Linked DNA regions of Oryzias latipes. The protein of the gene in region 2 purifies or fractionates together with the protein of the main gene of each other region. This does not show direct contact. Links are inferred from orthologs where the notes say so. Each region holds a gene or a part of one and is shown on either strand. Other genes may lie near its edges.

Region 1 (3,650 bases), on a different chromosome or scaffold from region 2:
GTGCTATCCTAGGCACTTTAACGTTGGGAGTTGGGTCATCTAGACCCACTAGACAGTGCTCTGAACCTTTTTTCTTCAATGACACTGGTGTCCATGGATTACATGAAATCTTTCCACCTTTATCCACCTTTGTCATGGTAGGGAGAACACGTCAATGGAAGGGGGGGGTCATCTAAGATAGAACAAGGGTTAAAAGTTTTGAGGATGAAACAAATATTAGTTTTCACAAAGTTTGCTGCAAAACTGTTTTTAGATCTTTGTTTCAGTTGTTTCTGTGCTTTTATTGACAATTACATGACATTTATGCAAAAAGTCAGTATTTGCAGTGTTGGCCCTTCTTTTTCAGAACCTCTGCAGTTCCACTGGACATGCTCTCTATCAACTTCCTGACTGATAGTAACCCTTTCTTTCAGAATCACTTCTTGGAGTTTGTCGGAATAAGTGGGTTTTTGTTTGTCCACCAGCCTCTTGAGGATTGACCACAAGTTCTCAAATGGATTAAGATCTGAGGATTTTCCAGGCCATAGACCCAAAATTTCAATGTTTTGGTCCCAGAGCCACTTAGTTATCACTTTAGCCTTATGGCCCGGTGCTCCATGGTTCTGGAAAATGCATGTTTGTCACCAAACTGTTGTTGGAAGAAGTTATTGTTGGAGGGTGTTTTGGTACTATTCTTTATTCATGCCTGTGTTTTGGGGCTGAATTGTGAGTGAGCCCCCTCCCCTGGATGGGAAACAACCCCACACATGAATGGTCTCAGGATGCTTTACTGTTGGCGTCACACAGGACTGATGGTAGCGCTCACCTTTTCTTCTCCGGACAAGCCTTTTTCCAGATTCCCAAACAATCAGAAAGAGGCTTCATGGGAGAATATGACTTTGCCCCAGTCCTCAGCAGTCCATTCACCATACTCTTTGCAGGAGATCAATCTGTCCCTGATGGGGTTTTTTTTTGGAGAGAAGTGGCTTCTTTGCTGTCCTTCTTGACACCAGGCCCTCCTCCTAAAGTCTTGGCCTCACTGTGTGTGCAGATGCGCTCACACCTGCCTGCTGCCGTTCCTGAGCAGCTCTGCACTGGTGGCACTCTGACCCCACAGCTGAATCCTCTTTAGGAGACCATCCTGGCGCTTGCTGGACTTTCCTAGACGCCCTGAAGCCTTCTTAACAAGAATTGAACCTCTTCCCTGGAAGTTCTTGATGATCTTATAAATGTTCGATTTTGGTGCAATCTTAGTTGCCACAATATCCCCGCATATGAAGCCATTTTTATGCAATACAGTGATGGCTGCACACGTTTCTTTGCAGGTTACCATGGTTACCAATGGAAGATCAATGATTTCAAGCATCACCCTTCTTTTAACATGTCAAGTCTGCCATTCTAACCCAGTCTGCCTGACACCATGATCTTCAACATTCTCTCCTGAGTTAACAAGACGATTACTGAAATGATCTTCACAGGTTCTTTAAAGACGGCAATGAAAGCAGTGGAAAGTTGTTTTTCAGGATTAAGTTAATTTCATGGCGAAGAAGGACATTGCAATTCATCTGATCACTCTTCATAACATTCTTGAGTATATGCAAATTGCTATTATAAAAACTTAAGAAGCAACCTTTCCAATTTCTAATATTTATGTAATTCTCAAAACCTTTGGCCACGACTGTAGTTTAATTCACCGGTCTTTCCTGATTTGAACTTTCTGTCTCTCAGCGCCATGCATTCTATCTCTCAAACCATCTCTGCACTGTACGTTCACTGGGCCTTCCTCCAAGTTTTGGGTAACAAACACTCATATGTGCATTGCACACAGCCAGAGTTTTGCTGCTTTCCATTAAACTCCCTGTTGTCTGCACAGAGGGAACTTCCTCCGCTGAGGCTGACTCAACCAAGACAGTTTCAGGTCACACAAGCACAACAACTGTGGCCCCTGCCCTTGCTGCTGCCACTATCACAGGCTTGGTCTATGATGAGAGAATGATGGAGCACGTAAATTTGTGGGACAGGTGAGCTTTGTGCTGAAGTGAGTGAGTATGTTGGTGTAAAGGTGAAGCTATAAAGGTGCAGCTGTAAATGTGGTTATTTGATGACATGTCTTAGACACCACCCAGAGCAGCCGCAAAGGATCTTCAAGATATTCTCTAGGCACCAGCAGCTGGGATTAGTCGACCGCTGCCAGCTAATACAGAGTCGCTTGGCAACAGAGGAGGAGCTGGCTATGTGTCACAGGTAAGGAGGTGCCACAAATAAGACACCCCCCACCATTATTAACCTTGCTGACCCTGTGTGTTTGTCCAGTTTGCAGCATATCCAACAGATGAGTGCAACGGCAACCATGAAGCCCAGAGACCTTCACAGGCTGGGGGATGAGTTTGTCTCCATCTTCATCAGCAATCAGAGCTTCCAGTCCGCCCAGCTAGCTGCTGGAAGCTGCTTTGCTGCTGTGGAGCATATGTTAAACGGACAGGTAAAACCTGACAGGTAGCTGATATGTTACAGGACAAGGCTTCCAATAGACTACATTACAGGCGAGGTTAGGGAACAGGTTTGCAGTCTCTGATTTTGGGGGTCTTTACCTATTTTGGGACTGCAAAAATAAATAGCTATGGGCTCTCAAAACTTTTAACTTCATAACTCTTTAACTTTTTAAGCTTTTCAACCAACTACTACTTTTTTAACTCCTTTGAAAATGACTTGCGAAACCTTCAAATCCCCCAAATTCAAATAAAAGCTTTGAGTTCTACAAAGCCTAAAATGTTAAGAAGATATTCAACTACAGTAACCATTCAACTATCAAAGTATTGACTCTGGGCTCTTAAACTTTGATTTTTCTTTTTAAAATGTCTTACATTCTTCAAAATTTTCCATGTAAAAGTCTTCATATTATCTGTGAGTGAGTTGTTAGTTATCAGAGAGTGTGTATTGGAGATTGGCGTCAGTTGGAAGCAGGCAGCAGAGTAAAGTATAGTGGGATGATTGAATGGAAGAGAAATATTTATTGGTTTAATTTTGCTCAGTGTGCTCAAGAAGCTTGTGCATAAGCACAGACATGTGAAAAATTAGAGGGAACTGGACTACCACAGCACTACCTTGAAATGTGCCAGGGTGGTGGCTGACCAATGTCAAGAAAATCGTCCAGCTGCTGTTTAATTAAAACCTTTGCTAAAAACCTTGGCGGCTGCTGTACAATATGTAACTATGCGCCTGCAGCTGCCGGATTACAAGTGCCAGTGCACGGCTACCTGCTGAGTTTGTTGAAAAAAATTACTAACTAACCAGGTGTAAGCATGGTGAACAGGAGAAAATAAGGTGAAATCTTTGGTGTTTTGGTGACAAGGCGCCAAGTATCGCAGAAACCCACTTCAACCATACACTGCCTGAGAGTTCCGGCTGAGTACGAGCTTTGCTGTTTCCCCGCTGAACTTAGTCTGTCGAGTTCAGGGTCTAGAACCAGGTTGAAATCTCCTCCAGTGACAAACGTTGGGCCAGATTGAGCTGACAGTGTGTTAAAAAAGGTGGAGTCATCAACATTTGATGCATTTCTATATATGTGTGTATATATATATATAAAAATATATATATATATATATATATATATATATATATATATATATATATATATGTATATATATATATATATATATATATATATATAT
Region 2 (4,279 bases):
TAATTATTAGTAACAATCACAAAATGGAATAAAAAATAAAAAAAATAAAAAGAGAATATGCGAGAGTAAATTTATGTCAGCAGTCCAAAAGATTTACAATGTCAATTGTTTTTTGAAGCTGTAATTAATTTTCAATATTGCTGCAGTTCAAGTTTGAACACAAAGAAATCAGGTTTTTTATTGGAAAATTTGCTTTTGTGTATATTTAGCCATAAATCATACCATGTTTACAGAAAAGAAAGCATCACGGTCTTTGACATCAAAGCTATGAAAACCAAAAAGTATGTTTTTATAATAAAGTTGTATGTCAGCAAAAATAGAATCGGTCATAAATTTATGAATGTTTTTCCAAAATCTGTATGTGAATTCACAGACCAGAATAAATGAGAGCAGGTTTCAGGTTGTTTGTGACAGAAAGTACAACTGATGTTTATGTCAGCCTGAAATTTAGTCAAGTAATGCTTTGCTGGATAAAATCTGTGTAGGAGTTTAAAAGAGATTTCTTCGACTTTATTTGTTAAGAAGTATTTTTGCGGTAAAGATCAGACTTTTTTCTATCCAATGTTCGAGGTGAAATTAGCCCAAAGGTAGCTGATGGAACAGAAACTAAATGATCTTGAAACAAAGCTCTGCTTTTTGAGTTCAACTGTTTAGCGGAAGTGAAGCAGAAACGACCAGAGGGGATTTGAACGCATCAGGAGGATGGAGAGTCAGAGGAGGAGCGCTGTAGAAACCCCTGAATAACATGCAAAGCCCAGACGGGACGGCATCAAACACAACTGTAAATTCTTTGGGGGTTATTGGTATTTCATACTGCATTGTGAACTCTGAGTTATTCAGTTATTCCAGATAATACAAGTCTGTGGAGAAAAGTTGTGTTTGTAGATCAGAGCCCAGGCTAAGAGAACCTGTTGATGAAAATTTGACAGTTTCAAAGGGATTTTTGGAATACTGTAGTTACAGCATAGCAGAAAGTCCGGCTTCTCTTTATTACCAGAACCGAACTGCTCCAACATACAGAGTATAACAGCGCCTCCTTCAGGTCACTAATAACAGGTACAGGTACAAAGCAGGTGGTATCTCCCGAGTCATACCATTTGTCAACAGGATGAGTGAGGATACATTGTCCAGGTTGATGTCCGTGCTCGTTAACGTGGATGAAAACTACTAATAACATATCAACATGCATGTGGTTCCTCCGTCCACCGGTCATAGCAGGAGTGTCTAGTATCTACCATTCTGGAGTAACTTCCTCCATATGGGGCATCAACACTTCTGTTTGGAACCTAAATCAGGACAAAGTTACACAAGGGGCCGGGTCACCATCTGGTGGACAAACTGGAAGATGGAACAAACTTTGTATAAATAGGAGCAGTAAGTTGCTATTGTTATTATTGAATTTTTACCATTATAAAAACCAAATAATATATCTTTGTATACCAGATCACATTTTTTTTATTTGACATTAATAATAATACATGTATTTATTTAAAACATTGTACAAAGGAGGTGAAGTCTTCTCTTTCCTCCTCTCAGCATCAAACCCCCGACACTTTAGTGTTGTAATCGAAGGTCAGACTACTGCTTGTAGCTGATTGGTCCGATCACTTTAAGCCCCGCCTTTTGTGTCTCAATAAAGTTTTCCCGTCCTCTGATTGGACGTCACATCTACCAGTCAAGTGGCTCAGAACCAATCAGGAGCGTTTGTCCTTTTGACTCGCGTCACGCACGCTGGCCGGTCGCTAGCGCAAAAATCCAAGATGTCGACCGCGTCTGTGCTCCCCATGTGTGTCCGGACGGGTCGCGGCCTGCTGAGGCTCCGCAGCGGGACTGCGGGAGCCGCCGCCCCGGCAGTGCTGCACGTCATCCGGACGCTCTCCTCGGAGAAGCCGCCGGCCGGGGCGGGCGGCGCGACGGGCGGCCTGGCTCAGGCGATCCTCCAGGAGAGACTGCAGCAGCAGCAGAGTCAGGTGAGGTGCGCTTGATTTACGACTTCGCAGCTGATCTTTTTGAAGCGAGCACCGACGTTTGTGATGGAGATACAGAAGCACCGCCCTTGTAAGCTGCCAGTATAAGCGAATGAAACATAAACTTGAATTGACAGTTAGCTTAAATGTTGTTGTTTTCTATTCTGTCTGGTCATAAATCCGAGTCAGTCTTTTGTAGTATTTAGTTTTAAGTCTCCGCCCGCGTCACTTCGGTCCGCGTGACGTATTGTAAGTGGACTCGGCGTGAGAGCTTCAGGACCTGAATGAATGAACTCCACGTTAACGAGCTAACGCACGAGCTCCCGGTCACTCTCTGGCTAGCTAAACCGGCGGGTACCGGATCCAGTAGAGCGCCCCAGAACCATCAAGGGGGTGTCGGGTCGGGGTGGTGTTGATGTTGTCGCTCGGTTCTGTCTGCCAGATAAAAAACATGAAGGTTTGTTTGGTTTTGAAGGTCGGTGCAGATCCCCGCCCTCCTCAACCTCCTGCGGCTCCTGCCTGCATTCATTTCAAACATCCCTGTCACGGCCAGGGCCGGAGCGGGGTTACAGGGGGGCTGGGGCAGAGTCCCTCCCCCCACCCCAAAAAGAGTTGATGCAAACTAGAACTGGATTCGCTAAAGACATAAACACACCAGCAGCCAAAATATACAGAAGAAAATAAATTAGCTGTAAAAATAAAACAAATGACTAAAGTAGTTTGAAAGAAGGAAGTCTGGTTAAATCGTGTCCCAGAACCACATAAATGGGTTAAAATCTGCTTTAGGAAATGAATGATAAATACAATGTTTTTAATAAATAATGACCAAATGTTGAGGAAGACCTGCTGAACTCTGACATAAATCCAGTCTCTAGGTCAAGGGTCGGAAACCTGAACCTCTCAAAGAGTCGATTGGATCAGTTTCCCACGGAGATGAAAGCACAGGGAGCCGCAACACTAGGGGTGTTAGAAAAAATGGTTTTTGGCCGATATATTTTGGGATAGTTCATTTGGTGATACTTGTATTGATTCAAAATGCTGTCAGGATATTTATTTAAGTATTTAATCATTTATGAGCGTGACGTTTCCTTTGATCTTTTGTCCATTTTCACAACCTTGAATAGACTTTTCTGTCTGTCAAACACCAGAGTTAAGAAGATGGAAACAGATTCACTTTGATGCAGACTCCTTTGTATTTATTTATTTAAATCCAGTAAACGATACATTATATTAATTTAAGGATGACATTTATGTTTTATTAGGAAGCAGCTGTTAGTTTGTTGCAGGTCTGGAATGCTAAGCGGTGGGTCTAAGCCCCGCCCCCATCTGTCGACCTGTTCACACCTCTGTAGCTCTGAGTTGTTTTCGCCTGCGTGCACCCCCCCCCAGCGTGTTCTGCACAGACAGCCCAACATGCGGTCGTCACAGCAGCACGTTGACGGGATAGTGGGGGCGTCCTAACGCAGATGGGAGGAGTTTTTATGCAGAAATGAGTCGTTTTAGTCCAGGAAATAAAACTGGCTTCTTTTTCCATATGCCCCCTACGATAGCGCCACAGCTGCAGACACGCCCCCTCCGCACGTTCACGCTGCTCTCTTCCTCCTGCCCGCTCGCCCTAAAGGCACCACGACAATCTCAGAACATGATAGTTATTTTACAAAACCACAGAGACCCACATGCAGCTCAGGGAGGTCGCAGGGCGGCGACCCCTGGACTGGACGGTCAGAGTCGACCTGCCGTTGTTCTTCACCGCCGGGCGGTTCTGGAGCGTCTCTGAGAACTGCCCTTTGCTCCCAAATGCTGCAGCAGGCGTCAGAAGGGGCGGTTAGAACAGAACTTTCAGCTTTTCTCGTCTTTGGGCTGCTAGCTCAAAGCCTAAAAGGAGCGGTCTTTATCACCGGGGTTGTATGCGGCGCCCGAAGGAACCGTGTCGGTGAGGATTGGCGAGGCTGAAGCAGTCGGCGTTCAGAGATGCTGAACTTCCCTGATGGTCGTGCTGCGTTCACATGCTGCAGGAAACGGCAGCTGCAGATGTGATGGATGAAACCTTGATGTGTGTGAACTGTGTTGGACCAGGGCCAGCCCCCACCTCCTCCCCCAGAGGGCGAGAAGGAGGGAGAGCGGGCGGAGGACAAGAAGGAGAACACCGCCTACGCCAAGAAGATGGTTCTGCGCTTGGCGGGCCTCATGGGGCTGGGCGGGGCTGTCAGCATCGTCTACATCTTCGGTGAGTGCTGTCAGTCAAAGTCAGAAGTGTTTTCTGTGATCAGCTTCACAAACGCAACAACCTGCAGAATCCCACTTCCTGCTCC

What was found. Proteins that work in one complex are often made in the same cells at the same time.
Region 1: the proteins of timm50 (region 2) and hdac6 purify together in Homo sapiens (affinity purification with mass spectrometry; 3 studies listed by BioGRID and IntAct, counting the BioPlex papers as one, with this or other methods). This does not show direct contact. The link is inferred for Oryzias latipes from reciprocal best matches to the Homo sapiens genes TIMM50 and HDAC6.

What each region holds. Positions count from the first base shown.
Region 1 is NC_019865.2:34,297,280-34,300,929, reverse strand, and holds part of hdac6 (histone deacetylase 6), read left to right. Parts: intron 1-1,707; coding exon 1,708-1,775; intron 1,776-1,852; coding exon 1,853-2,000; intron 2,001-2,094; coding exon 2,095-2,223; intron 2,224-2,292; coding exon 2,293-2,461; intron 2,462-3,650.
Region 2 is NC_019871.2:1,081,715-1,085,993, reverse strand, and holds the start of timm50 (mitochondrial import inner membrane translocase subunit TIM50), read left to right. Parts: upstream 1-1,474; 5' UTR 1,475-1,760; coding exon 1,761-1,970; intron 1,971-4,043; coding exon 4,044-4,194; intron 4,195-4,279. UniProt on the Homo sapiens protein: Essential component of the TIM23 complex, a complex that mediates the translocation of transit peptide-containing proteins across the mitochondrial inner membrane. Has some phosphatase activity in vitro; however such activity may not be relevant in vivo.